4 linked regions of the Notamacropus eugenii genome follow. The protein of the gene in region 4 purifies or fractionates together with the protein of the main gene of each other region. This does not show direct contact. Links are inferred from orthologs where the notes say so. Each region holds a gene or a part of one and is shown on either strand. Other genes may lie near its edges. The genes, in order: FBXO38, PTAR1, MTUS1 and SKP1.

What was found.
Region 1: the proteins of SKP1 (region 4) and FBXO38 purify together in Homo sapiens (affinity purification with mass spectrometry; 6 studies listed by BioGRID and IntAct, with this or other methods). This does not show direct contact. The link is inferred for Notamacropus eugenii from reciprocal best matches to the Homo sapiens genes SKP1 and FBXO38.
Region 2: the proteins of SKP1 (region 4) and PTAR1 purify together in Homo sapiens (co-immunoprecipitation; 3 studies listed by BioGRID and IntAct, with this or other methods). This does not show direct contact. The link is inferred for Notamacropus eugenii from reciprocal best matches to the Homo sapiens genes SKP1 and PTAR1.
Region 3: the proteins of SKP1 (region 4) and MTUS1 purify together in Homo sapiens (affinity purification with mass spectrometry; 3 studies listed by BioGRID and IntAct, with this or other methods). This does not show direct contact. The link is inferred for Notamacropus eugenii from reciprocal best matches to the Homo sapiens genes SKP1 and MTUS1.

What each region holds. Positions count from the first base shown.
Region 1 is NC_092872.1:410,104,239-410,111,751, reverse strand, and holds the start of FBXO38 (F-box only protein 38), read left to right. Parts: upstream 1-4,502; 5' UTR 4,503-4,592; intron 4,593-4,691; 5' UTR 4,692-4,781; intron 4,782-5,345; 5' UTR 5,346-5,431; intron 5,432-7,513. UniProt on the Homo sapiens protein: Substrate recognition component of a SCF (SKP1-CUL1-F-box protein) E3 ubiquitin-protein ligase complex which mediates the ubiquitination and subsequent proteasomal degradation of PDCD1/PD-1, thereby regulating T-cells-mediated immunity.
Region 2 is NC_092872.1:103,139,129-103,146,736, reverse strand, and holds the start of PTAR1 (protein prenyltransferase alpha subunit repeat-containing protein 1), read left to right. Parts: upstream 1-4,588; 5' UTR 4,589-4,915; coding exon 4,916-5,001; intron 5,002-7,608.
Region 3 is NC_092878.1:168,562,039-168,569,262, forward strand, and holds the start of MTUS1 (microtubule-associated tumor suppressor 1), read left to right. Parts: upstream 1-4,208; 5' UTR 4,209-4,402; intron 4,403-7,224. UniProt on the Homo sapiens protein: Cooperates with AGTR2 to inhibit ERK2 activation and cell proliferation. May be required for AGTR2 cell surface expression. Together with PTPN6, induces UBE2V2 expression upon angiotensin-II stimulation.
Region 4 is NC_092872.1:341,052,043-341,059,388, reverse strand, and holds the start of SKP1 (S-phase kinase-associated protein 1), read right to left. Parts: upstream 3,022-7,346; 5' UTR 2,651-3,021; intron 1-2,650. UniProt on the Homo sapiens protein: Essential component of the SCF (SKP1-CUL1-F-box protein) ubiquitin ligase complex, which mediates the ubiquitination of proteins involved in cell cycle progression, signal transduction and transcription.

The sequences.
Region 1 (7,513 bases), about 69 Mb from region 4:
ATTAGTGTGTATGAGGGAATATCAGCATAAATGCTGAATGCTCCTGATATAGAGATAGGAGTTGGGGAAGGGAGGAAGACAGTGATTCAGGTGTGAAATTCCTTGGGAATAGAGGGAGAATGAACAGATGACCAGTACACAATAGCCACCTTGATCTATGTACCATGAAAGATTTTAATAGAATGAACTTTAAATGAGAAGTTGGGTAAAGGTGGCAAAGGGAAATTCTGGAAGAGGTCATAGAGGTCAAGCAATATCAAGGATGCAGTGACATGTGGGAGAAGCCAAGTCAGTGAGTTGAAGGAATGGGAGAATAGATACAGATGTAAAGGAAGTTTGTTCCTATAAAATTTAAATTCAGAAGAGATGTTAGAGGTTGCATTTTACATATGAGAAAACAGGTCTAGTGAGCTGAAGTGACTTGTACAAGGTCATATGAGTGGTAAGTTGTTGAGGGCTAGGATGGAGTATGGTGGCAAGTTCAGGATAGAACTTCGGGGAAAACCTGTTCTCTGAGACTGTGCTCATTATCATCCAGAATTGCTCTCCAAGCCTCCCTGGATGTGTTGTCTCCATGAGATAAACAAGAGAACTACAGAATACAACGGATATGTAAAACAGACAATGCCCTTTAGGTTAACATTCTTTAAGACAATAAGACTGGCCAAATTACTAGGACAGGAGATGAGTAGATTGTCATGTAGACTTGCAGTTTCTGTCTTTAAATACCCTGACCCTCGGATCAACAAATGGAGTTGCCCTATCTTCTCTTGCCTGCCCATGTGTCTTTCTTCTTCACTGCTTTCACTGAGCCATGTGGGGATGCCAGCAGTCCCCCACAGTAAGTAACAAAGCTGGGAGTTCATTCGTTAATTCAATAAATATACATAGATCTCAAAATATGAAAGTATAGAAACAGTACTGGATTTGGAAATAGATGACAGAATATCAGATCTAGAAAAGAAACCCATTTATCTAAGCCAATAGCAAAAAGAAATCAGAGAAAGTGAAAAAAATGATTATTTCTCTCTTATATTAATAACCATTTATTAATTGAGATGAACATTTTCCCTTTTCTATTTCCTCATTAAGAAATCTGCCCCTTGTAGGGTTATTCAAGTAGAATTTGAAGGACATCTCTTATGGATGAGATTACTGAAATCCTTCAGGTACATGCTTTTTGATTGGTTGGACTCCACCTAACTAGGAGACCTTACAAACAGAATACAGTGTAAACAAGATCTTACCTTTAGGAAATAAGCCCCTGTCCATCCTTGGGACCTTCCATTAGAATTTTGGGTGACCTAACAAATGAAGGGGTTGAAGATGGATTCTTTTGCCCATATTGCTGGAAGCAGCTGAATTCCCCACACTCTCTGCAGGGGGAGCTGAAGACTTTTTGCTTACTTCCTCATTAATATGTTTACCCCCTAATTGTTAACCAGTCTGAGTTGATTTCCACCCTCAGGTACATTACCTTTTCCAAAGGCTTCTTAAGCATTCAGAGGCCCCCAAGATGCTTCTTTGGTTTATGAAAATGAAATGACCATCCTTTTATTCACTAGCCATATTTAATAAAATTATTAATTACCCTGAAACTGAGTCTCTTGAACTTTTCATTTGTCACAAAAGTAGGTGTGTTCGACCTTCGCTGCTGAAGGCCATGCCATCAGGGAAATAATGACATGGTTTGCACTTGGCTTTGTTTTTTCTTGAGTGAAGGAGGGCTGTGCAGGTCACCAGCCTCACTTCTCCTCCAGAGCCATCTGAATCCAGTGACCAGATATTCACCAGGATGACTAGATATGACCTAGGATGAGGCAATTGGGGTGAAGTGACTTACCCAAGGTCACACAGCTAGGGAGTGTCAAGTGTCTGAGGTGAGATTTGAACTCAGGTCCTCTTGACTCCTGCACTGGTGCTCTATCCACTGTGCCACCTAGCTGCCCTGTCACAAAAGTAGCCATATATGGAGATATACTATTGACTTGGATAAACGGAATTCTTTGTTATTTGTTATAAGTTCATTGTGAAATTGGTCTTTGGTGGGAAAGGGGTTCATCTGTGAATATAAAGCTTGGGGCCTTTTTAAGAATTCCTCTTTAAGAAATGGCTATCAGATGGTTAGCATGAACCTAAAATTTATATACCCTAAAAAATTATATTTAAGGGATCAGATAGATATAATTTTATCCCAGTCGCCTCTCTCTCTGAGCAGAGCAGAGTGCTTCCCTGCTTCTTAATTCCTGCTTCCCCTGTAGAACGAATACAATATTCATAGCGCCTAAGCAGCCATGAGTATCCCAGGGCAATTCTGAATCACAAAATACCACAGACTCTCCACATGGAAGGCAGAACCAAAACATTTATTCAGATACTTGAAAGTCAAATCCATCATAGTAACAAAAATCTATACACAATAACAATGCAGAGAACAACATCATCCCCAAGCTTTCCCCCGCTAGGCATTTTTCATCATGAATTTTCTGGAATTATCTTGGAGCAATGCCTTCATCGGAGTAGGTAAATTAATTATCCTGTTGCTGTTCCTTTGTGTGATATTCTCCTGGTTTTGTTCACTTCACTTTGCTTCAATGTATATGTCTTCCCAGGTTTTTCTGAAACCATCTTGCTTGTCACTTTTTATAGTGCAATAATATTCCATCACAATCATATACCACAGCTTGTTTGACCACTCCCTTATTGATGGGCACCCCTCTGATTTCTAATTCTTTCCCATCATAAAAAGAGCTGCATCTTTTTGTACAAATACATTAATTTCCCTTTTTCTATGATCACTTTGAGATACAAACCTAGTAGTGATATTGGTGAGTCAAAGAGTATGCAGTTTTAGAGCTCTCTGGACTAAACTGTAAATTCTACATCGTTCTCCAGAATGGTTGAACTGGTTCACCACTCCACTAACCATGCATTATTGTTCCAATTTTTCCACATCCCCTCCACCATCTGTCATTTTCCTTTTCTATTATGTTGTCCAATCTGATAGGTGTGAGGTAGTATATGTTACTTTAATTTGCATTTTCCTCATCAATAGTGATTTAGAGTATTTTTTCACATGACTATTGATAGCTTTGATTTATTCTTCTGAAAACTGCCTGTTCAAGTTCTTTGACCATTTATCAATTGGTGAATAGCTCTTATTTTTATAAGTTTGCTTCAGTTTCCTATATCTTTGAGAAATGAGGATTTCTCATCATAGAAACATGCTGTAAAAACTTTTCCCTAGTTTCCTGTTTTCCTTCAAACTCTCTATTCTCAAAGTCATCCACAATACAACCAGGAATATGGTGATCTTCTGCTTAAGAACCTGAGGCATACAAATTCAAAGTCATTTATAAATTCAGAGAATAGAGTTATTGTGTATGGAGTAATTCAGAGAAATAAAAGCAGTGTGCCCAATAAATCATTGAGCATTTATAAGGCAGGAAAAAACAGTAGAAGAGAAATCAGTGGATCTGGGTTCAAATCACAATCCTGTTATTGACTAGTCTGACCTTAGGCAAGGCAAATCACACTTGAATATATCAACCAATGAGTATTTATTAATCATCTAAGAATGAAACAATTCCTACTCATAGGTTTACTCTCCAAGTAGGGAGTGGGGTAGATGAAATCTAAGGCTCTTTCTAGGTATAGATCCTGTGAAAATTTCACAGAATTAGGGGGGAAATTTTGGTTGCCATATTTTAGAAAATATATAGAAAAGGTTTAGCACGCAAGAATACTGGTGAGGGGATGTACCATAGAAAGACTTTTAAACAATTTTAATTGTCCTCAAGTGCAATGAGTTGCCTCCAGAGGGAACGGGTTTACAAAATCAAGGGATTTAGAAACAAAGGGGAACTTGGTATTTATCTAGTCCAATTCTCTCCTTTTACTGATGGGGAAACTGAGGCCCAGGGGAGAAGATGGTCTGAGCTAGAACAAAGGATATCCCAGGTCCTTCCTCAACCTACGTTGAGGCTTCCATGAAGGTCTCTGTCGCACTGACAAAATCCTGCGCTTTTTTCAATGGCTGGCACACAGCTGGAGCTTAATAAATGTTGACTGATTAAAGAAATCACAGGACACAGCTGAAAGGGCCTTATAGTTCCTGAAGTCCACCCCCTCATTTTAGGGAGGAGAAGAAGGAAATGATGGGACAAGCACTCACGTCTCGATCGGTCTCCTTAGAAGGGTTCTTTTTCATCACCTCGGGTCGATTCCATCTATGCCAAGTCGTTCTCCGTTTTACAGGTGCGGAAAACTGAGGCTCAATGAGGGAAGGTGCCCCCGCCAAAGTGTCACAGTGTGTCAGCAGCTGGCCCAGTAGGGCACCCCAAGGCTACCCCACACTAATTTCCTTTCCCCGACAATTTAACGCCCACATCCACCACACACAACATGGTGTTTTCGGCTTATCCTCACGGCGCCACTCCTAACATGGCACCCCACGCAATTTTGCCCCGGAAGTGGTCCTGGGCAGCGACGGAAAAGGAAGCGGCGCGGCGGCGGAGCCGGAAGTGCTTGCCGGGGTTCTCCCTCCCTCCCCCTTCCCGAGCCACAATAACAGACAGGAGGCCGCCGGGCAGGTGAGGCACCGGCCAAACCTCGGGAGGCTCCGGGTCCGGACGGGGCGCGGCGGCTGCGCCCCTCCTGAGCCCGTGTCTCCTCTTGTGTCTCCCTCACAGACGCAGCCGCAGCCTCGGAGCCGGAACATGGTCCTCCCGCGGGCCCAGCCCCGCGCAGCCTCCGCCGCAGCCTCGGCCTCCGGGCGCCCGGTAATGGGGGAGGGGGAGCCCCGCTGTCACGGCCGCGAGACGCAGGAGAAAGGGGGAGGGGGCGCACGGGGGTGTCCGGGACCCGCCGGGGGCGGGGGCGCAGGAGAGCGAGGGTGGGAGCAGGGCACGGACAGGGTGGAGGAGCAGGCGGGGATGGGGGCGGTGGACGGTGGGAGCCGGACACCTGGCTGGGAAGAGGGGGGATGGGGAGAAGCGAGAAGGACGCAGAGCCGGGGCGGGGGCCGCCGAGGGGTGCCCTGTGGCTGGAGTAGAGAAGGAGGGCAGGAAGGGAGGGGAAGCGCTGAGACCAAGCCGAGTAAAGTATGAGCCCATGAATCGGGGGCTTGAGGAAATCTTGGGGAAACGTGTTCTGCCTGAGATGAAAAAAGAAATACGTCATTCCATCTTTATGGGAAATATCGCAAGCCCCTTCCCTGGCATGGAGCAGAGTTTGGGCAAGGGTGGAGTCGGTGGTCCTAAAGGTTTCTTGTAGGACTGATTTTCCATGGGCTTCTCTGCTCACCCTGACAGTTTGACTTGTTGAAACTTGAACCTTCCTTCAAGGTCCAGTTCAAATGCCACCTCCTGCTAACCTTCCATGAGTTTTCATTGTGAGACAGAAGCCATATCTTTACCTTTCAATTCCCAAGGTAACTCGGAGGTACCATTCTTCTAGTTGTTATATTGTAAATTATTTTGTAGTTATTTCTGTCTTGATCTCTTCCACTAGATATTAGCTTCATAGGCAGGGACTCTTATTTTATCTTTATCTCCTGAAGAGTCTTTTATTAATATTAACAATTACTGCTGTTTGTATAATGCTTGACCATTTACGGCTCTATGTATGAGCTTTAGAAGCCTACAACTTCAAGGGAACTTAGTTATCCCTTTTCCTTTTAAAAATATAAGGTAGGATATCCTCATTTCATTTAAATTGTAAAATTGAACGTGGGTGTGTTTCAGGGTGTGGGAGTGTGTTTTATAGGTTGTATAGAATGATTTTAGTGGAATTGATTTTGAGCTGATTGACATTGTAATATACTGGACAAAGAGACAAATTAAATAACCAATAGACAAGATGATTTGATTGAGCCTTTTTAAAAGAGAATTTACTGAAGAGATCAGGGAGCTAAATGGAGAATTATAAGTCCAACCCTTTATTAATCTTAATAATAACCTCCCTGACAAATGGTTGCTCATCTGCCCTCTGCTTGAAACTCTCCAGAGGTGGTGAATCCTCACCTCTCCAAGATAATTCATAACACTTCTGTGTTATTCTAATTGTTAGGAGGGTCTCATATTAAGCTCTAAGCTGCCATCATGTGATTTCTACTCGCTGGTTTTACTCTTTTGTATGCAGGCAGTATTTTTCTAATCCCTTTTTCAGTTGAAAGATATAGTAATAGGCTTTGTCCATTGATATGGGAAGAGACAAAGAGTTAAGTATCAGGCACCTGAAATTTCCAAGTTCACTACTTGAACTGTATGTTTGGTTGCTTCTAAATTTTGAAATATTTGTGCTGGTATAAGGTAATCAAACCTGAGGAATTGTCGTCATGTGAAAGAGGGAGTATTGAATTGAGGAAGTTGAGAATGGAAGATATTAAGGTAAGAATATGCCTCTGTCTGATCTGGGAAATCTTAGAAATCTCAGGATGCAGAAAACATTAAGGAAGGAGGAAGTGTTCTTACCACAGAAGTTGAGGGTTGAACTGGTAGAGTGAAAAAGGTAGAGGATCTAGGCTTGAATTCCTAGCTCTGATACTTTAAGCATGGCTAAGTCACTTGTCTTCTCTGGGCCTCATTTGTCCATTGTAAAATAAGGAGGTTATACTAGTTAATCTTTTGGCACTAAATCCTATTACCTTATAAGCTCTTTGCAGAATGAAAGAGAATTAGGAGAAATGCCAGGCAGAACAACCTAACGTAGTTGTGAATAAAGTGCTTTGTAAGCCATGAAGAGCTATATGAATATGAGCATTTATTATTAATTTTAAATTTTACAAGACAGGAGAATGTGAGTAGGTGAGAGATAATCTGAACTGTGGTAGGGGAGATAGATAATCTGGACATTTAATCATTAAACAATATAGTTAGTATGGGCTTTGGAACAATAGAATAAAAAAAATTTGAAATAGCAGGGAATGATTTGTTTTTCCAAGCTCAATAGAATACGAGAACTCCAGTTTTCAAAGGAAGCAAGAATAAAAATTATGTTTTAGAAGAGTCTTGTTTCATGTTTTATGATTAAGTGGGAAGCAAGACAGGTTACCATTAGAAGAGACCTAAAATGTGGTTATTACATCATCCCAGAAGTAGTACTGCTAAGCCGAATTTTCTTGAACAGCAAATTTTCCCCTTTTTGAAAACTGAAACTCTATTTGTCCATCTCCACAACTTGTCTATGGGGTACCTCTTCATTCAATCATAATTTCTTTCAGTACTTAAGGGCTAGAATTTATCTAGGCCTAATGACTTGAACATATTGAAGAATGCTAGATGCTAACTTAGCATCTCTTTCTAAAGGGCTTAAAAGACTGGAAGGAAGATTTAGAGGTCATGCCGAGGGTGAAGAGAAAGGTTTAAGAGTATGGTGGTATGGGTAAATTGGAAGAATGGGAGATTCTGATTAGAGAGCAGACTAACGTGTTCAGGGAGAAGTTGTACGGATGAACAGCAATAGTCAGGATATTAGCATTTATATGTATGAATGTTGATAGCTTCAAGAGTGA
Region 2 (7,608 bases), about 240 Mb from region 4:
TTACAATAAATTATTAAATTTAAGATGCATCATTTAAAAAATTATATTTTCTTGAAATGACACCAATTAAAAAAAAACTCCAAAACTGTTAAAGGGTTAAAGAAAGCAGATTTTGGGGGGAGAGTGCTAAGTAATTTTTTTTTTTTTAAGGAGGCAATTGGTCAAATAAGTTTGGGAACCTTCTGTGTATTATAAAAGGCTGAGGTCAGTCTTCCTTTTTCAAGCCCTTCCTCATTCCATGGAGGAATTTACGACCAAACAGGAGATAGAGAACATCATGAAATGCAAAATGGATAACTTTGATTACATCAAATTGAAAAGTTTTACACAAACAAAGCCAATGCAACCAAGATTAGGAGGGAAGCACAAAACTGGGAAAGAATTTTTGCAACTAGTGTCTGTGATAAAGGTCTCATTTCCAAAACACATAGAGAACTGAGTCAAATGTATAAGAATATAAGCCATTCCTCAATTGATAAATGGTCAAAGGATATAAACAGGTAGTTTTCAGAGGAAGAAATTAAAGCTATCTATAGTTACATGAAAAAAATGCTCTAAATCACTATTGATTAGAGAGATGCAAATCAAAACAACTCTGAGTTACCATATCACACCTATCAGACTGGTTAACATGACAAAACAAGAAAATGATAAATGTTGGAGAAGCTGTGGGAGAGTTGGAACACTAATTCATTATTGTTGGAACTGTGAGTTGATCAAATCATTCTGGAGAGCAATTTGGAAATATGCCCAAAGGCTTATAAAACTGTGCATATCCTTTGACCCTGCAATACCTCTTTTAGGGCTATATCCCAAAGAGATCTTAAAAATGGGAAAAGGACCCACATGTACAAAAATATTTATAGCAGCTCTTTTTGTGGTGACTAAGAACTGGAAATTGAGGGGATGCCCATTAATTGCGGAATGGCTGAACAAGTTGTGATATGAACGTAATGGAAAACTATCGTGCTATAAGAAATGATGAACAGGGAGACTTCAGAAAAACCTGTAAAGACTTATATGAACTGAAGCTGAGTGAAACGAGCAAAGCCAGGAGAACACAGTAATAGCCACAGTGTTAGAGGACTGTTTTTGATAGACTTAGCCCTTCACAGCAATGTAAGGATCTAAAACATTTCCAAAGGACTCATGATGCAAAATGCCATCAACATCCAGAGAAAGAACTATGGAGTTGGAATAAAGAATGAAGCATACTGTTTTCTCCTTGGTTATGTTTTGTTTTCTTTCTCATAGTTTCTCTCATTCATTTTAATTCTTCTATGTGACAAGACTAATGTGAAAGTGTGTTTAATAGGAATGCATGTGTAGAACCTATATAAGATTGCATGGGGAGGGGGAGAAAATTTGGAACTTGTGGAAATGATTTTTGAAAACAGAAAACAAATTAATAAGCATGGAAAAAATGTCTTTCCCCATTCTGGTACATTTTCCACAAACTGATCTTTTGAAAGCACAGGTGGCTTCCTACCTCCAGTATCAAATACAAAATACTCTGGTTTTAAAGTGATTTATAACTTGGTCCTCTCTTGCCTTTCCAGTCTTCTTAAACTTTACTTGCCCCACAAACTCAGCAATCCAGTGACACTGGACACTTGACTGCATTTTTACTGACCTAGAACTGTCCTTCCTCGTTTCTGCCTCCTGCCTACCTTCAAGTCTTAGCTAAAGACCCGTCTTCAAAAAGCTTTTCACAGTCCTTAATCTTAGTACTTTCTCTCTGAGATTATCTCCAATTAATCCTGTCTATATCTTATTTGTAAAGAGTTGATTCCACGTTGTCTTCCTCATTAGACTATGAACATCTTAAGAGCAGGAACTGGTGGGGTTTGGGGGGTTTTTTGGTTGCCTTCCTTTGTCTCCTCAGTGCAAGGCAGATTGTAGGCACGTCTTGCTTACTGATAGACCTGGTAAAGGGAGAGAAAGGACTGACATATAAAATTTAGAGTTGGAAGAGAACTTGGATGTCATGTGCCACCACTTATTACACATGAGGAAACTGAGGTCCAAAGAGAGGCCTAAAGTTACTTGTCCAAAATCACTGATATTAAGTGGTAGAAATGGGTTTGGAAGTCAGGATTTGTTACTCTACACCCAGCATTTTTTCTACTGTATCATACTGTCTCTCTCAAGAGTGAACCTAATTGACAATACCTGCTTCATCAGATAGCAGGATGAAAATATTAATAATAATATGCCTGATTGAAAACAAACTTGTGACACGAAAGTCTACACGTTACTTTTCTTTAGGGCACTCTATGTTCTGAGCACGATATCTTACTTTGTTATTACTCTAACTTGGAATTCCATTTCCAGTCTTTGTCCCTTTGCTTAGGCTGTTCCCCTCCATACCTGGGATAACACCCTCTTTACCTGCCTCTTAGAATCCCTAGTCTAGCTCATGTGCCACCTCCTAGGGAAAATCTTTTCTAATTTCCTTAGTTTTCATAATAAAATAAATATAAAAGCCTCAACCTACATCTCAATTATCACTCATATAGGTGTCAAATTCCCAGTAGAACAAAATCCCTTTAAGGGAATGGGCTATTTTTTCTTTTTTTCTAGCACTTAGCACAGGTCCTTGGAAGATAGCAGACACTTAATGTTTGTTGGGTTTGACCGAGAAACATTTTAGAATGTTAGATTATTTGCCTATATCAAATTATAGGTAGAGTGGCTTTTTTTCCTCCCTCTTTCAATGTAGAAGCGAGAAAACAACTTCTAAGATATGCTATATGATTTTTCTTCTGCATTTGGAATATGAATCTGCTCACAAAAATTCACTTCAAACTTGAACCTCATGGATATTTTCATTGTGCAGAAGGCATTTCTAAAGTTGGGTTTCCATAACTCAGTAATCAATCAATCGATATTATTCAATAAGCATTTATTAAGCACCTATTCTGTGTCAGGTGCTGTGCAAAGCACTGGGACACTAATGTCTTTTTAACTGGGCACCATCTGATTCCAAATTATTCATCTCAATAAGGTGAATGAAGTTATCACTGTCAGCCCCTCAAAAAAGACTGCCACAACGTACAGTGAAGCCACAAAATAACGTCACCAACCACAGCTAAAAAAGAAACTCAACCACAGCCCTGGTTACCTTACCTCCTTTCCTTCCCAAAGTAGGGAAAAGGAGCAAAATATTTTCAACATCTTAGGGACCAACTCTTCAACTTTGTGATTGCTTGTAAACATTTCCCCTTTATCCTTGCACGGATAAGGATGCTAAGCTTTAGGGGTAAAGACAACACTTCAATAAGTACAAAGGTGATTAGGATTCCACATGGAGGAAGCCACAGGGGAGGGCTAAAAGCATCTATAGATTATCTGAACCTCAAATTCCCCAGTGAAAGGTGGCCCTGAAATCAAACAAGCACACAAGGAGTTGATAAACAAACGTTTATTAAACCCCTAAAATAACAGTATCATTTATACAGTGCTTTAAAAGTTTCTAGTACCCTAAATTGAGACCCAATCATGTTTTATCTCATTTTATCCTCAAATCAACCCTGGGGTAGTGTGTGTATAGGTGCTATCATTACCCCCAAACTTACCTGAAAGAAAACCGGAGGCACACAGACCCTTAAGTGATTTGCCCAGGGTCACAGAGCTATTAATGTTTCTCTTTTACTCAGGAACTCTGGGTCTTTCCCTCCCAGTTTACTGGCTACATTTGTTGCTCAAAGATCAAACCTTAAACCCAGTTCACTCTAGAGCTCCTAGACTGGACAAGTCCCCACCACCTAGCACAGAGTGAATGTAATTACTAAATAGTAATTGTTTCTCTTTTACCCAGGAACCCGAGGGTCTTCCCCTGCTAGTTTGATTTTTTTTTTTTTAAATTACAGCGCCATCCTTTGAGTCATTTAAAGAAGCCTATTCATTGAATGGGTCACTCAAAGGGTCTCCCAGCGCATCCTGGGTCATCTCCAGTCCTCCTGATGAATTTGGGCCGTTGGACCCAAATGGCTGTGGAGGAGAAGTGAGGCTGGTGCCCTGCACAGCCCTCCCTCCCTCCAATCAAAGTCAACTGCAAGTCAAGTCATCATCCTGACATCACAGTCCTCTTAGAGAACCAAGGACAAACACAACTCAAAAACCCAACACCCTACCCTCAAGAGCTTACATTCCAGGACCTGTAAGCCACCGGACAGCCAGGAGAACAAAAGCTGCTTATCTGCTGACCTGGCCAAAAATACTGAGCTTCTTCCCCGTGGGGCTTAAAAAACCAAAAGGGATGACGTGGTTAAAAGGATTGTGCAAACCTTAGGAGAGAAAACACGGGCACGCTCCCCAGGCGGCCCCGGGAAGCTCCGCGAGGCAGGAGGATGCAAATATGGGGGGAGCGCGAAGCAAAAGGCGGGGGAGGGAAGGCAGGAAAAGAGACAATGAAGAAGGCGGGCAGCCGGCGACGGAGCAGGGGACCCTCGTCCTCACCCTCGCCCCTCAGGGGAGCGCGAGCCCAGGAAGTGTTCCCCGGCTCCTATCCCTTTAACGGGCGCCTCGCCCGGGGACGCCCCGGCGTCGGGTCGGCCTCGTGCGCACAGGCGCACGTGAAGGGGGAGGGGGGAAGCCGCGAGCCCCGCCATTTTCAACGCTCCAACACCTCCCCCTCCCCTCCCCGTGGGCTGACCCGGAAGCGCTCCTGCCCTCCTCCGAGGCCCGGCGGAGAAAGACGCGGGCGCGCGCGCGCACGCACGCACACATATACACACACACACGCACACACACACATATATACACACACGCGCACACACACATACACACACTGGGACACGGAACCCTCTACCCTCCTCTCCGCCCCCGGGAACATCCAGCAGTCAGCCTCCCGACTTACTTTCTGCAGCTACCGCTGCCCCCCTATCCCCCCAATTTTTTTTTAATAAAAAAAATGGCAGAGTCTACGGAGGAGGTGGCGGTGCTGGTGCAGCGGGTGGTGAAGGACATCAACAACGCCTTCAAGAGGAATCCTCACATGTGAGTTGGCCCCAACTCGGGGGAGGGGATGGACGCACGGACGGACGGACGGATGGTCGGACTGATGGACGGAGCTCGGAGGACAAGCGCCGGCCTCTTAGCCCTACTCCGATCAAGGAGCCTCCAGCGACCGCTATCTGCCCCGGAGGACACGAGGCCGGCCTCTCCCCTCCCTTCCTTCCTCCTCTCTCCCTCCTCTTCCCCTCTCTCGTCCTCCTTTCCCTCCTTCCTTCTCGTCCTCTTCCATCTTTTCTTCCTTCCCTTACCCCTTTCTTTCCCTCCTTTTCTAATGCTTCCTTCCTCTTCTTCCTCCTCTTTCTCTGCCCCCTCCCCCTTTCCTCCTCTAGTGTCAGTTAAGGTCCAAAAGGTGATCTCGACCTTAAAACGAAGGGGTTTCTCCTTCGTTTTTCTCTACCATCATCCCTCCTCCCCTCCCCCCATCCCAAACAAGTTACATTTTTCTTTTCCTTTGCTACTTTGTTTCAGGGCTCTCCTCTGAACCCTCGAGCCTAGGCCGGGAGGGGACAGATCCAGAGCTGCCAGGGACCTCCGGGGCTGGCTAGTCCAACTCCCTCCTTTGACAAATAGGGAGAGCGGAATTGCAAGTGAAGGGACTTGCTCAGGGACCTCGGAACCCTTGCTCCAGGCAGCACATCTCACTGCCTTCTTACTCTCATTTTACTAATGAAGAAACTGAGGCTCAGACAGGTTAATTGAGCAGCCAGCCCAAGGTCACAGCTACTCAGATTTTCTGATTTCAAGACCACTTGTTCTTTCTACTGTATTGAGATAGAAACTAACCATTAAAGGAGGAATTCCCTCTACCAGTTACAGATCTGCATCTGCCCTGCAGTGGAGAGTCTTAGATAGTTGCCCAGGGCACTGGGAAGTTAAGTCACTTGTGCAGGATCTCCCAGCTATTAAATTCTTCTTGAATTACAGGTTCCTGGCTTGGGAGGCCTGTTCTCTGTTCATTATGCTGTGCTGTCCCTCTTATGTGGGTATTGCCTATTTAAAAAAAAGTATTTTAAGGTTTTCAAAGCTTAGAAGGGCTATAGTGAGGAGTGGAGAATTTTTTAACTGCCCTGCCCTGTTGAAAGGTTCTGGATTTTTGCCTTTTCCATGTCACTTGACTCTGGTCAAGACAATTATAAAATACATAAGAACGGTTTGGGCACCCCATAAAGGAAGATTTGGGGGGGGGGTGGATATAGGTGCTGATAATCTCAAGTACCTGCTGAATCTATTAGGTATAGGATGAGGATTGGGGTAAAGCAAACCAAACTTTAATACTGCTCTATCTGTGTCATAATCATCACCCACACTATATGGGACTCTTTATTTTTGTTCCAGCCTCATTACCTACTTAAGTTTAACACAGCAGAGATGATTTCCCTTTTTTGGATAAAATGTGGACTAATCACCTGTTTAGATCAAGGTATAACAGAAATGTAGTTCAGAACAAACTTCAGCAGTCATCTAGTTCACACAGTTTTATAGAGGAGGAAATCAGATATCAGGGACTTGCCCAAGATCAGAGGCAAAATTTGAACCCAGGCCCTCTTCTTCCAAAGGTAATGCCTTTTCCACTGTAACATTCTAACTGTGCTCCTCTATTGTACACACGATATCAAGGGTGAGGAGGTCACTCCAGCATGATGGGAATAGGGAAAGACACTGGGAATATAATTTTTTTAAAAAAAATGACACAGACCTTGCCTGCTCTCAAGAAATTTATAGTCTCTTTGTGGGTTAGGATATTTATACAGATAAATTTCATAAAAGGTAGAGTGGGGACAAAGGAGGGAACCAGACAAAATGTTCTCTTCTTCTACTTCTCTCCCCACCATCCCAGCTGTCTTTTGGCTCTTCAAAATTAAAGTAGTCAGACGGATGTCTAGGAGTAACCATAGCAATTACTGAGTCCTAAAATTGGGAGTTTCATTAAACTCACAAATAACTGAAGGAGAGAAGGGAACATTTTCTCACAGTATTAAATGTATGTTTTCTTTGATGAAATAGCAGGAGGTAAAAGCAAGTCAGTCGTCCAGCCACCTTTTCAGGTTGCTCTAAATTCTTTACAGGCTTGTGAGGTGGACTGAGATGACATCACTTGGTAGGGCAAGTCTAGATTTATTAAAACAAGCACAAGTCAGTAGATGTGGTGTACTCCCCTTAGGAAAGTTTTAATTGTAAAACTTCCTTAATTTTAAACCTATTAGCTCAAACTTCTTGATAATTTAGAAGTAGAATAAGGAAAATAGACTGTGTGTTTTAAAATAAATGCCAACTTGTTTGAGATGCATTCTTAAGGAATAACATAATTTAGGTTTATTGTGACCTTTGATTCTTTTAACTAATATTATTTTATAATAAGTATTAAATTTTCATTTATATCATCTCCAGCACTAAACTATTCCTGTAAATTTGGACTTTTCAGTAATTCATATAAAACTGCTAGATTCTCTTATTTCAAATAAATGCTTTTAAATTTATAAGTAAATGTAAATAAAGGGTGAATGCTTTCTTTGAAAGCTGTCTTTGTATTTTTATTACAAAAAATTTTTCTGACCTTTATCTTTTCCTTCTGTAATTTTCCTATACCCA
Region 3 (7,224 bases), on a different chromosome or scaffold from region 4:
TGTACAAGCAATTAAAGGAATAAAGTTTCTCATGACTGACTGCTTTGGTTCCAAATGTGGTGGGCATGATAACAAATAGCTGCCATCCTTCCGAGCAGAAGGAAAGAGGGAGTGGATGGATAAAAGAGAAGCAGCAGTCCTCCCAGGGATGGAGAGGTGGGGGATGAAAGGGACTGTGAACAACACCACTTCTAGGGCTGTATCCCAAAGAGATCATACAAATGGGAAAAGGACCCACATGTACAAAAGCATTTCTAGCAGCTCTCTTAGTGGTGGCCAAGATCTGGAAATCGAGGGGATGACCATAAATTGGGGAATGGCTGGACAAGTTGTGGTCTATGAATGCAATGGAATACTCTTGTGCTATAAGAAATAAACAGGAAGACTTCAGAAAAACCTGGAAAGACTTTGCTGAACTGATGTTGAGTGAAGTGAGCAGAACCAGAACACTCTACACAGTAACAGCCACAGTGTGCGAGAACCACCTTTGATAGACTTAGCTCTTCTCAGCAATGCTTGGATCTAAGACAACTCCAATGGAAAATGCTCTCCACATCCAGAGAAAGAACTATGGAGTCTGAATGCAGATGGAAGCAGACTATTTTTCTTTTTTTGTTTTGTTTCTTGTGGTTTTTCCCCTTTTGCTCTGATTCTTCTTCCACAAGACTAATGTGGAAATAGATTTAACATTGTACATGTATAACCTGTATGTCAGACTGCTTGCTGTCTTGGGAAGGGGGGTGGAGAGAGAGAGAGGGAGAAAAATTTGGAACTCACAATTTTACAAAAAGAAATGTCCAAACTATTTTCACATGTCATTGGGTTAAAAATACTATTAAGGAGAAAAAAGAAAGAAAAATAAATAAGTTAAAATCCCCAAGCCCGCCCAAACATTAAATTTCTGAAAATTGCATGCTCAATGAGCTTAAACGAAGATTAAGAAAAGAAAAACCAACTAATTAATAAGATAAAGAGGAATCAAATGGATAAATGAAGAAAACGGGCGGGGCTGCCCCTTGGCTTCCGCACGTTCTGGCCCCGATCGCTTCGCAGCCTCCATCTCGGTCCTACTATCCTGCACTCGTGTCCGCCGCGTCCTTCTCCACACTCAGACGCCTTCCAGAGAACAAAGGAGAAGATAAATATTTGATGACAGACAGACCGACATTCGGGATGGGAATAATGACCGCGGGAAGGCAGGCTCCGGATTCGGTTACGCCGGAGGATCGGGTGAATGGTAATTAGCCTAATGGAGAACCCCTGAAAGTCTCTGCCCTCGGAGAGGCTCCTCTCAAGAGCCTCCCATGGCTTGTTATAGAGACAACGTGCATCTGTCTGGGTTCAGGGGAGCTGGGTGCAAATCCACAGTCAATGGCTCAGTATTAGATTCCCAACATTCCCTCCTTGTGCCTGCCTCTCTGAAGGAGGAGCCTTGGGCATAGAAGAGCAAAGGGTACAAACATTGATTAAGCACCTACTGTGTACTAAGTTCAAGGTTAAGCACTTTACCTTTATTATCTCATTTGACCATCACAACAAACCTGGGAGGTGGATGCTATTATTATCCCCAGTTTACAGTTGAGGAAACTGAGTCAGACAGGCTAAGTGACTTGACCAGGGTCACACACCTGGTAAGTGTTGGAGGTTAGATTTGAACTGGGCATTTTCAACTCCATGCCTGGCACTCTGCCCACTCTGACACAGAGCTGCCTCTGGTTCAGTGCAGGGTATGAGAGCCAATTTGGGCCACATGAATGGACAACGTCCTTCCTACCAGACTTGGTTTACCTGGAAACAGTGGCCTGATCAACAAGTGCTTTTTGGTCTTGGCAGCTGAATCTCCAGGGAGGACTCCCCAAGAGGATGAATAAGGCTAAGGACAGTCATGCTCCGATTGGTCACAGGAGGGCTGCCCACAACTGGTTTTGGACATCCATTTACAACAAACATATCTCTTGTAGAGGAAGAGGAAAGCCTTCCTCTGCCACAGGCCTGTGGCCCAGCTGAGTCACCACTCTCAGAGGAGGATGATTTGATTGTTTTCTTTTGCCATAAAATGTCAAATGCCCCAGGCTGGCATTTCTGTAGAGGGTCTTTTGCTTGGCAAAGCGAGGGTGTGGCACTGGCCTCAGTTTCTCTGAGAGGGCCTTCCTGGCCTGTAGTCAGCTTGTTGACTGACTATGGAATGCTCCCCTGCTTGTTCAGGGGAGGGTGAGTGTGGCAGAGATCAGAGGCATGTTACAAGCGGGCAGCCTCCTGGGATTTGGCTCTCAAGAACGGCCCTGAGGCTGCCCCCACCTTTCAGGACAGCAGGCCTGCTGATTCTTTGCTCCCTTGTTGGTAGGGACCCTGTGTTCTCAGCCTTGAGAGGCCAAACCCTGGAGTCTCCAATCTAAGATTCACAGAGTGAGACTGGCCTGGCGTTGGGGGCACAGGGCAGCCTCCCCAGGTGTGTGCCAGGACAGTGCATTTGGAGCCTTGGAGAAGGGGGCTGGGAGGTGCTCACTGGGCATTGGCTCGCCATGGGATCCTCTTCCTCTGCCCCCCCTCACCCATGGGTGCTGGGGTCAGCCAGGCTGCACAATAGGATACTGTTATTCAACACCAGGTCCACAGACTACTGAGAAGTCTGGGGCCTGCCCTCAGGGGGTTCAGTCTGGTGAGGAGCAAGCCCCTAGCCTGGAGAACTTTGATGCCCAGGGTTACGCAATGCCTGGATGCCAGTGGGGCAGGGAGGTGCCAGAACGGATGCCAGGGGTGAATGAGTCAGACCTGTGGTGGGAAAGACTAATAACCACATGGCTATTTGTAACACTCATCTGTCAAAGGAAAACAATCGGGAGACTGGTGCATGTAACTCAATGGGATGCCTGACTCCTGGACCCTGGCTGGAAGACAGACAAAGCAAGGCCTCCTCTTCTGACATCCTGGGGCAAGTGCAAGGACCCCCTGCTCCAAGGGGGCTGATGGTACCTGGGAGACTAGGGGCCCTGGGTCTGGAGCTGGGGGTCCTGGTTGTACATGGTGTGCCTAAGCAGGGTCAATTTTGACAAGTCACTTCTGCCCATGGCCTCAGTTTCTCCACCTGTAAAAGGAGAGGGTGGCTGAGACCCTCCCCAGCTCTGGAGCTAGGATTGAATGGTCTTAGGTTTTACAGAGAGGGAAACTGAGACCTAGAGAGTGAAAGAGACTTGTCCAAGATCATCTAACTAGTAAGTGGATGCTAGCCCAGTGGGAAGATTGGTGGGTTTGGAGTCAAAGGCTCTGGGTTCAAATCCTACCTTTGCCATTTACTGCCAGCGTGACCTTGGGTGATTAGGTTCTCCTCCCTGATCCTGTTTCCTCATCTGGCTCTTTGAACTTCTGGTCTGACTCTCTAATTGTTGCCCCAGTGGGCATCATGTGGCTTCTGAGGTGCCCAGGTGAAGGTTCCTGGCAGCCCTCCCCCCTCAGTTTCAGCACTGCTTGCCCCCAGAAGGCATCCCGAGGGTGGGTGCCAGTACCGGGTGGCCAGGGGCCCCAGGGTTCCCTGCAGCTCCCAGCTCAGGGCTGGGCTTTTTCTCCTCTCCCCCACCCCGATGTGGATCTCTTGGAAAAAATGAAGTCAAACAGGTTCCCCAGCAGCACACACAATTGGCGGCTGTGACAGGCCAGGAGGGCTGGGTCCAATCCTCAGGGTTACCACTGGCCCTGCCCCTGGGCACCTTGCGCAGGCCGGGTCGGGCTGGCCCACGACGGGAGGGCTGGGTCAGTGTTACCTGAGGGTCAGGGACACGCGGAGCTGGCACTGGCCCTGCCCCTAGGCTCCTTGCGCAGGCCGGGCCAGGGTGGCCCACGACGGGAGGGCTGGGTCCCATGCTCAGGATTACCACTGGCCCTGCCCTTGGGCACCCTGCGCAGGCCAGGCCGGGGTGGCCCGGGAAGGAAGACAGAGAAGCCTCAGCCACGCTCCCGGCTTGGGACTCCCAAGGTCCAGCCCCGGCTGCTGGGTGACCTTGGGCCGGGCCCTGCCCGTCTCTGGGCCGCCGGGCTCCAGCCCCAGGCTGAGACCCCCACAAAACGCAGGGCCGGGGCTCGAGTCCGGCAGACGCAGCGATAGCGCTGGGGAAGGGCCCCAAGCACCGGGGGACACCAGGCTGGAGGACTGACCCTGAGAGGCGGGGCTTCGGGAGGAGGACCCGGGGGCGGGGCCGGGGCGGCCAGGGGATGGGGGCGGGGCGGCCGAGGCCGCTCAGGTGCGGACGGAGTGACCCCGGGCGTCGGAGTCAGCCCCTGGAGCGGCTGGACGCTTTGGGATCGGCGGCGGCGGCCAGCCGGGTCCTGGTGTCCGCTCTGGCTGAGCTCGGGGCCCCGGACTCTGGGGCTTTTGGACGGAGCGTCTGGCAGACCCGCGAGCCCCAAGGTACGGCCAGGGCCAGGGAGTGGAGGCGGGAGGCGAGTGGGGTGGGGAGGCCCGTGACTCCGTGGCTCTGTCTACGCTCAGGGCCGAGCCTGAGGACGCACTGCGGTTGTGGGTGCCCTGCCACGGGTTCCGTGCGTGGGAGTGTGTGCGCGCGTGTTGGGGGGAAGGGGGTGGGGAAGAAGAGGGGCACCTTCCCCGGGGCGCGTCGCCAAGGGGTAACCGGCCTGGCCACCCCCTCCGTGGAAGACCTTGGCTTACAGCTCTGCTCCCTCCCAACTTCGGTTTCCCCAGCTGTCCAAGGAGAGGCCCGGGCCAGCCCGTGCGCCTGCAGAGTCCCCATTTGCACGGGAGGACACCCATGCCCGGGAGTCCGTGGGCAAAGTGCCCACGAAGGAGGTGGGAGGGGGCGTCTCTGCTGCCCCGCTGACGCCTTGGGCTCCCCTGGTACCAACCCCGGAGGGGAGACCCCGAGTGTGGACCGGGCTAGGGAACCCATCATTAACTAGGAATCTGGGGTTCCGGGACCTAGTGGTTAAGCAGATGATCAGTTTCTCCAACCCACCCCTTCCCCTCCTGTATTGGGGGGAAGGGGCTAAGGGCCAGGCACAGCCCTTGAATTCAAAAGTTGTGACTGACCTCTGGCAGTCTGTGAGTGTGTGAATGGGGGTGGGAGTGGGCGAGGCACTGCCCCCAGCCTCAGTTTCGACATCTGCAGAATGAGAGCATTTCCCATTTGTATAGCAGCATCTTAGTGACCATGCTAATGCTTTCAGGGTCCCAGGGAGGGGCCTCCTCTTGGAGTCTATTATGATTCCCATTTTACAAAGGGGGACAGTGAGGCACACTGAGGCCAAGCAGCTCACCCAGGGTCCCCCATTCAGGAACAGCCTGAGGCGGAATTCTGGCCCCTGTCTGGCAGTCTCAAGTCCTTTGTCTTCCTCTCACCCCCACCCTCCTCGACTGCTTTCTGGATTCCCTTTAATAAAGAGAGAGGGAACCTGACTGTCCTATCCCATGAGTTCTGGGGAATGACTTTTATGCTTCCAGAATCTCCCTGTCAAGGAGAGTCTACTGCTAAGGGCCTCTGGGTGGCCAGAATCAGAATGCTGGACCTGAGTCAGGAAGCCCTGAGTTCAAATCCAGTCTCAGACCATCCTAGCTGTGGGACCTTGGACAGCGTCTCTCTGGTGATACAAGGTCCTCACCACCCCTCCCACCCATCCACCCATCCCCAGGCAGTGTGAGGATTTGGGAGGTGCTCTGCAAACCACAGGACCTGCCATACAATGCTAGCTACTGCTGATACTTCTAACCTCCATAGTTAAGTCTGGGAGAGCCCAGGACCCCGGCCTGGTGCCTGGAGAGCAGAGACCTGACATCCAGTTGTTCTTGTCCTGGATCTCCCTCCCCTCCCCCCCTCCCCGCCCCCTCCCGCTCAAGCCTGCAGGAGTGTGCGGGGTATCGCCTGAGACTTTGTTTGGAGCTTTTCCTAGCCTGGTGGGTAGAACACCCATTGATCATATAAACACACTGAGGCCCAGGGAATTGGGAAGGAATCCTCAGAGGCCGGAGAATGCTCCTTTCTTCTTGGCTTTTTGTAGCCACGAATGACTTTCTCCTTTTGACCCATTCTGGGACCAGAGCCCTGACTTGAAGCTAGAGGCAGATTTAGGGTGTGGCCTTTAAGACCTATCTAGAAACTGTACACCCTCCCCAGAACGGAGCCTCAGGGCTGGGTTTGCTTTGCTTTGGTGTTGGGTGGCAGTTGGACCAGGGCTGGCCTAAAGCTAACTTTTCCCTTTAGGAAGAAAAAACTCCTCAGATGTGAGATCTCCTTCAGGTGGTTGCTCTCTCCAGTGAAGCAGATCACCACCCAGTCCTGCCCTGCCCTTCCCCCCCAAGTGTTTGGTCCTCCCAGAAACCTTGGTAGACAGAAGACTGTGTGGGAAGCCCTGGAATTTGCAAGGGAGTCCTCCACATTGTGCCTTGTGTCACTCCCCTGTAACCTTGGCTTCCCCATCTCCATAGGTGACTGTCACCTCCAGGTGAGGCTCTCTGGAGGGCAGGGCCTTTGTTTTCATTCTTCTGACCACCCAGTGTTCTGGGGACCTTCCGGGAATGCTTTCCATTTTCATGGGAACATCGAGTACAGCCCAATGGCTTGTCCCTCCTTCCCTCTCTGACAGCCGGCCGGCCTTTACATGACTCACAGGAACACTGCCTTTTTTGGCCCCCAAAGTCCTAGCCTGATGTGGAGGAATTGGAGAGGTGGCCCCAAGGCCTCAAAGGCCACTCGAACTCTGCCGGGGCCTGGTAGGAGAGCAGAGGCTTTTGGAGTTGGCCTGAGCCTGCTGGACTTTGTCTCCCCCCCAGTGAGGAATGTGGTAGCTCCCGGCATCCCAGGGAAGCATGAGACCCTGATAAAGAAGATGTAAGGATGAAAGGACAAGCGGCCGCTTCATATCATCCTGAACCTAGCCTTTCTAGACTAATCCAGTCCCAAGAGCCACCCAGGCTGCCTCTCATTCCTCCAGCACTGTCGAGGGCTAGGGAAAGCCATGCTTTGGCTCTGAACCTCCATTAATCCAGCTGGCCCACAAGGCCCAAACCCACTCTGACGCACAGTAGGGATATTAGAGAGGCAGATGAAGGGGAAGTCCATGGATGACAAAGACAGGGGAGGAGCCATCCCACTGTCCTACTGGGAGTGATCTCAGGCCTGGAGCTGGCAGGGATGGCACAGGCCAACCCCTCCCCCCAGGGCTCCCCCCCAGCTTCCTCTCTGGGAGGTGAGTGGCTCCTCTCAACCCTTTCCAAATAAG
Region 4 (7,346 bases):
AGCTAATTTTAGGTCTGAACATATCAACTACCTCCTTCCCAAACCAATCCCCAATTAAATTCAGTAGCTCCCTATTAACTCCCATGAACAAATTAAATCCTCAGTTTGACATCTTAAAAGTTCTTCATAACTTGACCCTTTCCTACTTCCTGAGTTATTTTCCTCACTCCAGTACAATCCAGTTACACTGGTTTACTCGTTGCAAATGCCTTGCACACAAGATGTTCACTAAGTTAATATCAGTTAAATGCACTTCAGTATTACCTTTTACATTACTGTGTGTACGTGTTGGTTCTGCCTACTTTTACACAAGGTTTATTTATCCAAGAATTACTCTGGGATTCATTCTCTGAAAAAGATTCTAGCTTTAAGATTAGAAAAAAATATTTTAAAGCATCTATGAAGTTTTACATTAAATGAAAATGATCTGTAAAATTTAAAATGTATGCTATAGACTTTATTAAATGTACTGCACGTTTTACAGCTGGAAAAAATGTTACAGCTGATTCAAATATGGTGAAAGTAAGCCTTAAAATTGAATGTTGGGAGCTGAAAATGAAAGATGGGAATTGATGACCCACAGTTCCTCTACATCAAATGTTATTGCAGTGAAAATTTTTTTTTAAGTAGCAGGAAAACAGCAATATATCAAAATATTTGTGTAGAAAAAAATGCAAATTTTGAAAAGATTTCATTCCTGGACATAAAAGCAGAAGTTTGAATTCAACGTACCAAAGCTTATCCTCTTATCATACCATACCACCAAACTAACTTGAAACCAGCCCTGCCCATGGAACTGAGGCCAGTTCCACTGCAGCAGATTTACAAATACCAACAACTTCAAAATTACAGAGACTCCATTGGTTAAATAAGGCTATTTTAGAATAAGCTGCCTGCCCAAAAGGCAGATAAATCTAGAGGCTTTAAAATATTAGCTTGCATAATGCATACACACAAGTGACATTAAGAGTTTTTTGGCTAAGATGTCATGGACTACAATAAGCCTGACATTTTATTAGAATGTTAAGTTCCCTCATTCATCCAAGATCAAAAAAGTCATTAACAAATTTGCTTGGTCACAAACTTCAGACCTATCTGGTTACTCTGGAATCTTTAAGATCTTAAATAGCACTGAAGGGATGTTAATCCAGAATTCAAAGAAATTTAGTCATCAGCCCTGGAAACAGCTCCACACAACGCTGCACTCCCCTCCCCCCAAAAGCCCTATTTCCAGAGAAGTGAATCTTCTGAAAAGTAGCCACCTAAACGTTAACGACTACAAATCTGAGTTCCTAAAATCTATGAATACTATTGGTTATATTTATTCCCTTCCTGATTAAATGGGTATGCATTTCTATTACTAAGATGAAGTACATTTATAAATGTCTGAGGTCTTAATATTTCTAACGCTTCCAACTTAAACTGCAAAATGATTTACGACAAATCCTGTCCATGAGGCTTACTGAAAACGTTCATGAAAAAAGCAGAAACATTTTGCCTCCAGGAACACGGAAAGTGTCTTTTTTCCCCTCAAGTCTTGCCATGCAGAAGGGATCCTTTCCACTTGCTTCTTTTGCCACAGATCAGGAAGGCCGTATTTTTAATGCACTGCAGAGCTGGCTCCTACCCCACTGTCCTCGGAGGGAGCTCTAGGGTCCAGCAGCTCCGGGGCTTGAACGCGCCTCGCCAACAATCCACGCCGCCCGCCCCCCGGCCCCGGCCCCGGCCCCGGCCCGGGCTCTCCTGCAGCCGCGGCCTCCCGGCCCTCCGAAGCCACACTCCGCCTAGGACAACGACCACTCTCCCGTCGCGGGCAGGCCGGGGCGGCTGGCAGGTGGCTCCCGAGATAGCGCAGTCATGTTGTTTACCCAGCGTTCGCAGCAGAGCGAACAAACAAAACGCACAAATGCCTTTACAATCCAGGGCGCTCCTACCGACCGGACCAATTTTACAAGAGGAAAAACCGAGACCCTCCCCCTGCACAGCAGGTGAATAAGGAAGTCTGGGGCTTCAACAGAACGGGAATAAGGGCCCCCCCCCTTCTAAGGACTGGGCCGGATTACCCAGCTCCGACTACCCACAACAAATCTGCTGAAGACCCCCGCGAGAGGGGTATAAAGGTAGACCCTTATGGCAAGGGGAGCACAGGAGGTGCCCCATCATTGAGGAGAACTAGCTCGGGCTCGGAAGGAGCCGGCGAGGGAGGTGCAGACGACCCTGGGGAAGGGGGGAGGGCCGAGGGTCGCACGCTGGGCGAAGCTGAAAAGTAGTTCAGGCTCCCCGTGGGAGCGGGCAGGGAGGCAGGCAGACTACGGGGGGCCGGAGAGGGGCCGTGAACGGGGCGCGGGCCTCGGGGGACCCCGGCGGCAGGTATACAGGCTGACCGAGTCAAGGCGCCTAGAAGCGGGACGGCCTGTGGCGTGTGAAGCTAACGTCGGAGCTCGAGCGGCCTGGAACAAGGGAGGGGAACAGGGTCAGGGCTCCCGCCTGCTCTGGCGGCCGGAAACGCCGAGAGAACGGGCAGGGGATGGGGGGCTGGCGAGCTCCGAAGGGAGCGGGCGAGGCCTAGGCCGCCGCCACACAGCAACAACGGGGCCGCGCCCCGCGGCTCCTCCTCCACCCTGCCTTCCCCAGTGCCGAGACCACTTACGGTTCCGGATGCCCGGGGACCCCGGCGGGCAAGCTGGCGGAGCCGAGAAGACCCGGTGGGCTAAGGGACAGGCGATGAGGGGAGGGAAGGCCCCGAAGCAGCGCGGAGCACCAAGACCACTACAGAAGCAGCGCCAGTGGTGGCGGCCTTTATAAGGGCGGACAGAGTGGAGCCAAGGACCCCAGGCCTGGTGACGTCACAGAGCACGCTGGGATGTCCGAGGACATTGCCTGACAGGGGAACGAGCACACACCCACCGAAAGGGGCCTTCTCTAGCCTCCTCTCTTCTGGCACTCTCGGAGGAGCTTTTGTCATTTCCACCCGTCCTGAGAGGGGCAGGCCTGGAGGCACAGGCAGGCTGGCTCGTTGAAGCTCCTGCAGCCTGGGGGCGGGGTCCTTCAGGCAGAGGCTGTCTTCAGCAGAATGCTCTGGAGCTGGGGAAGTTCATGGAGTCTACACCGTGGGTCTTTGTGGGGGACGAGCAGCTCCTGCTTATCTCTGAATAGCCAGAGAGCCAGTGAGGGACCCAGTGAAGGACAGCTGCAGGTCATTTTAAGGAATTTAACTTCTTGGGAGATGGGTGGAGAAACAGGAAAATTAAAGAACCCCCGATTTCTCTGATAGTTTACATTTTTGGACAGAAAACCTTTATTTTACAACGTGCTTTCCTCAAAATAATCCTGATAATTCAGAAAACATTATCCTCATTTGACAGCTAAGGAAAGCCAAACTGTTCCTGCCCTTTTCTATTTTCTTACTCGGTGACCTCATCAGCTGCCTTGAAATCTAATGATCATTTCTGTGCTGATGCCCTTTCCATATACTTAAGTTACCTATTAGACACCCCCAACTGAGCGCCCCCCCAAGGGCCTCAAACTGGACATGGTTAGAGGAAGGAAGCTGTGGGGCGGTAGAGTTGTCATTTTAGTGCTGGAGTTCAGATTTTTGCACCACCCTATGCAAAGCTGAACAGGTCACTTCCTGGGCCTCAGTTTCCTGTTCTGTAAAATGAGGTTTGAACTCATAACTTCCAACGATTTCTCTCTTTCCCCCCCAAAATTCTTCTGGGCTACACTTTTTTCTTTGGAGGGCATCACATCACTGCCTTTCCAGTCAGCCAGGCCTGGGGTGCCACCATCCTTTATTCATTCAAGTTTGCAACAACTTATTTATCAACTTCTCACTCCCCCTTATCACATATATCCAATCAGTTGTCAAGTCTTGTCGATTCTATTTCCATAATATCTCTCCTATTCTGCCCCTCCTTTGCTCTATTCACCTGTCCTCTTTAGTTCAGGTCCTTCACATCTTGCCTGGACTGTCCAGTAAACAGTCATGCCTCAAATCCATCTACTTTCCACATAGTTGTCAAAGTGATTTTCTTAAAGCACAGATAACCATGTCCCTCCCCCCTTTTTAGTAAAACCGCAACAGCTATTATTTATATATATATGTATACATATATATGTATATATATGTACCCAACTTTAACCAAATTTGCCTTACCATTGACTCTTGTGTCTCCCATCTCTGTGGCTTTGCATAGGCTTCCTAAACCAAAAATACAAAGCCATTTAGAACCTTTACTTACTCTTAAAACTGAATCTAGTCTTCAGTCTCTCCCTCTCTAGTGGTTCATTTCCTACTGCTCATGTCTCTTCTATCCTGAAAAAAATCCTCAATTGATCTTCCATCTATGCTACTGCTATATCTCTTCTGCCCACTGTAGTAGCAAACTCCTTGGAAAAGTTGTCCACAGTAGGTGTCATTTTTTCACATGAGAAACTCAGGTCTTTGAGAACGTTGAGTCTTAAGAACTTTGATCAGTGCAATGACTGGTCATGTCTCTAAAAGACGTATGAAGAAGCATGCTACCCACCACCTGATATAGAAGCGATAGACAAAAGGTACAGAGACATATTTTTGGATGACTGCTGTGCAGATTAATTTTGTTTGACTATGCTTACTTGTTATAAGTATCTTTTTTCCTGTTGCTTTTTAATTGAGGAGGGTGAGTTAGAAGGGAAGGAGAGGTCATTTATAAGCACCTACTGTGTGCCAGGCACTATGCTAAGTACTTTTACAAACATATTACTTCATTTGATCCTCACAACAATCTTTTGAGGTAGGTTACCTTTACGTTATTATCCTCCTTTTACAATTGAGAAAACTGAGGCAGAGATTAAATTACTTGCCCAGAGTAAAACAGTGAGTGTCTAAGGCTAGATTTGAACTCTTTTCCTAACTCCAGGACCAGCATTCTAACCACTACACCATCTAGAAGTTTAGAAGGACAAAGAAGGTGGATAGTTTGGGTAGAACATATGTGTGTGTGTGTATGTGTGTGTATGCACACACATACATACACACAATATATGTATGTATACATATATATATTTGATAAGCAAGCAGTATGAAATAGAGATTGATGGTTGCAAGTAGAATCCTCTTTTGTGTTCTTCTGTGTATATGGAAATGTTCTCTCACTCTCTCTTTCCCCCTCCCTGCCTCTGTTTCTGTTTAGGTTCAAAATAAAAGTAAAATGGGAAGCCTCTATAAAATTTCCTTTCTCCTGGTTAGTCTTAGTCCATGGTTCCACAACTGATAAAATGGATCACTTAAAGCTAGAGGTTCAAAATAAACTATCTCACTAATAAAAAACACATTACGCGCCCTCCCCCCCGCCCCAGTCTCCAAGACCATTAAAACTCTGCTCACAGGAAGGCAAAAAGTTCCAGGCAAGGAGACAAAAAGTAATAAGCAAAGAAGTTCCCTGAAGTCTAAAAACTCGGGCCAGAGTGGTAGCTTGAACTTTATATTCTCCCTGCCCAAAGATCCCCCAGCTGGGTCCCAGATCAGTGGGGGGAGGGGAGGTAGAGAAGTGGGGCAGTGCAATTCATACTGGCCCAGCTCTTTTTCATAGCTTCATCACTCATAACTGCCCTAGCAGGTTTTGTGGGAACATGTGGGATGTCAAAGCACTGCACTTCTTCCAGCGTCAGAGCCTGCAACACTCCTCACTTCAGCTCTGTGCTTATGTATGTATGTATATGTATATATACACACACATACACAATAATAGTAACATTATAGCCTGTATAACATATCACATAAATAACATGACATTCTAGCCTATGAGAGATATATATGCTATAAATTTTATACAGATATATATCCTATAAGATATATAGATATGTACTTATATATATTACAGGTTATAGCATATATATCTTACAGGCTAGAATGTATCTTATAGACTTAGATGTATCTAGCCATCTCTACAGATAAGTCTATCTATAGAGATGGCTAGATACATCTACATCCATACATATATCTCATTATCTCATAGGCTCTCATATTTTTTTTGTTGTTGTTCAGTCATGTGTGACTCTTCATGACCCCATTTGGGGTTTTCTTGGCAAAGATACTGGAGTGGCATGCCATTTCCTTCTCCAGCTCATTTCACAGATGAAGAAACTGAGACAAACAGGATTAGGTGACTTACCCAAGGTCACACAGCTAGTGAGTGTCTGAGGCCAGAGAGATGAGTCTTCCTGACTCCTGGGCCAGCAGTCCATCCACTGCATCATCTTGCCCCAACTATAATATTACCTGATTGTTCAGGTATGGAAGGGTCCCTTAGACCTAGTCCAACTCAAATTGAAAATCTATAATTACTTCTATTTTAGCTTCTGAATATATCTTGGCCTTTCTGCCCTTGAGGTGCAGGTAAGGATTGTTTTTAGTGAGGAACTGGAAAGATTTGGTGGGGTTTTTTGGTTTTGGTTTGTTTTTTTTTTTTTAGCCACATCCAGGGGCTCCATTTGCAGGCCTTGGCCTGGTAGGGCCATGGAGGCTCACTCTCTCCCCTTCTGCTGTTCCCAATTTCAGCCACCAGATGGTGCCAGATTCAATTCACCTTCAATTGAATAGGAAATAAAGTTTGAGGGAAGCCTTTGCATTTCTTTTCTGGAGGACCCCAAAGAACCATTTATCAACATGTGTAGGGATATCATCCTACACATGCCTATTTCTCAACAGAAAGAGCTTGATTAATCAATGAAGCTACCATCACATTTTCATCAATGACTTCAACAATTGGTATGCTTATCAAACTTGTAGGTCAAACAAATCTGCAAGAATAGTCGATAAACTTATTAAGCATCTACTGTGTGCTAGCTCTGCCACCATGCTAAGCCTGGGGGAGACAAAAAGAGGCAAAAGACAGTCCCTGCCTTCAAGGAGCTCAAAATCCAACAGGGGAGACAATAAGGACAAATATGGACACATGATCTATATATGTTGGGCCAAATCTAATGAGATGAAGTTTAAACTATTATATTCTTATACTAATTTTGTATATACTTACATATGTGCTTTGTCTCATCCCATTAGAATGTAAATTCAGGAGTAAGAACTGTTTCACTTTTGACCCCAATGCACAGGGTCTAGTACATAGTAGGTGTTTAATAAATGCTTACTGATGTATTACACTTGGCTGTTAAAAAAATCATCACTAATGCAATATTAGGGAGGTATGGCTGGATAGCAGTTCATCTGAAAAGAAAATCTGGGAGCTTTGGGTGGTTTACAAACTCAATATGGATCAAGTGTGACAAGACAGCAAAAAAACCAAACTCATTTGCTCTTAGGCTGCATTGAGCATCCAGAACAAGGGAGGTGATAGTCCCAACAT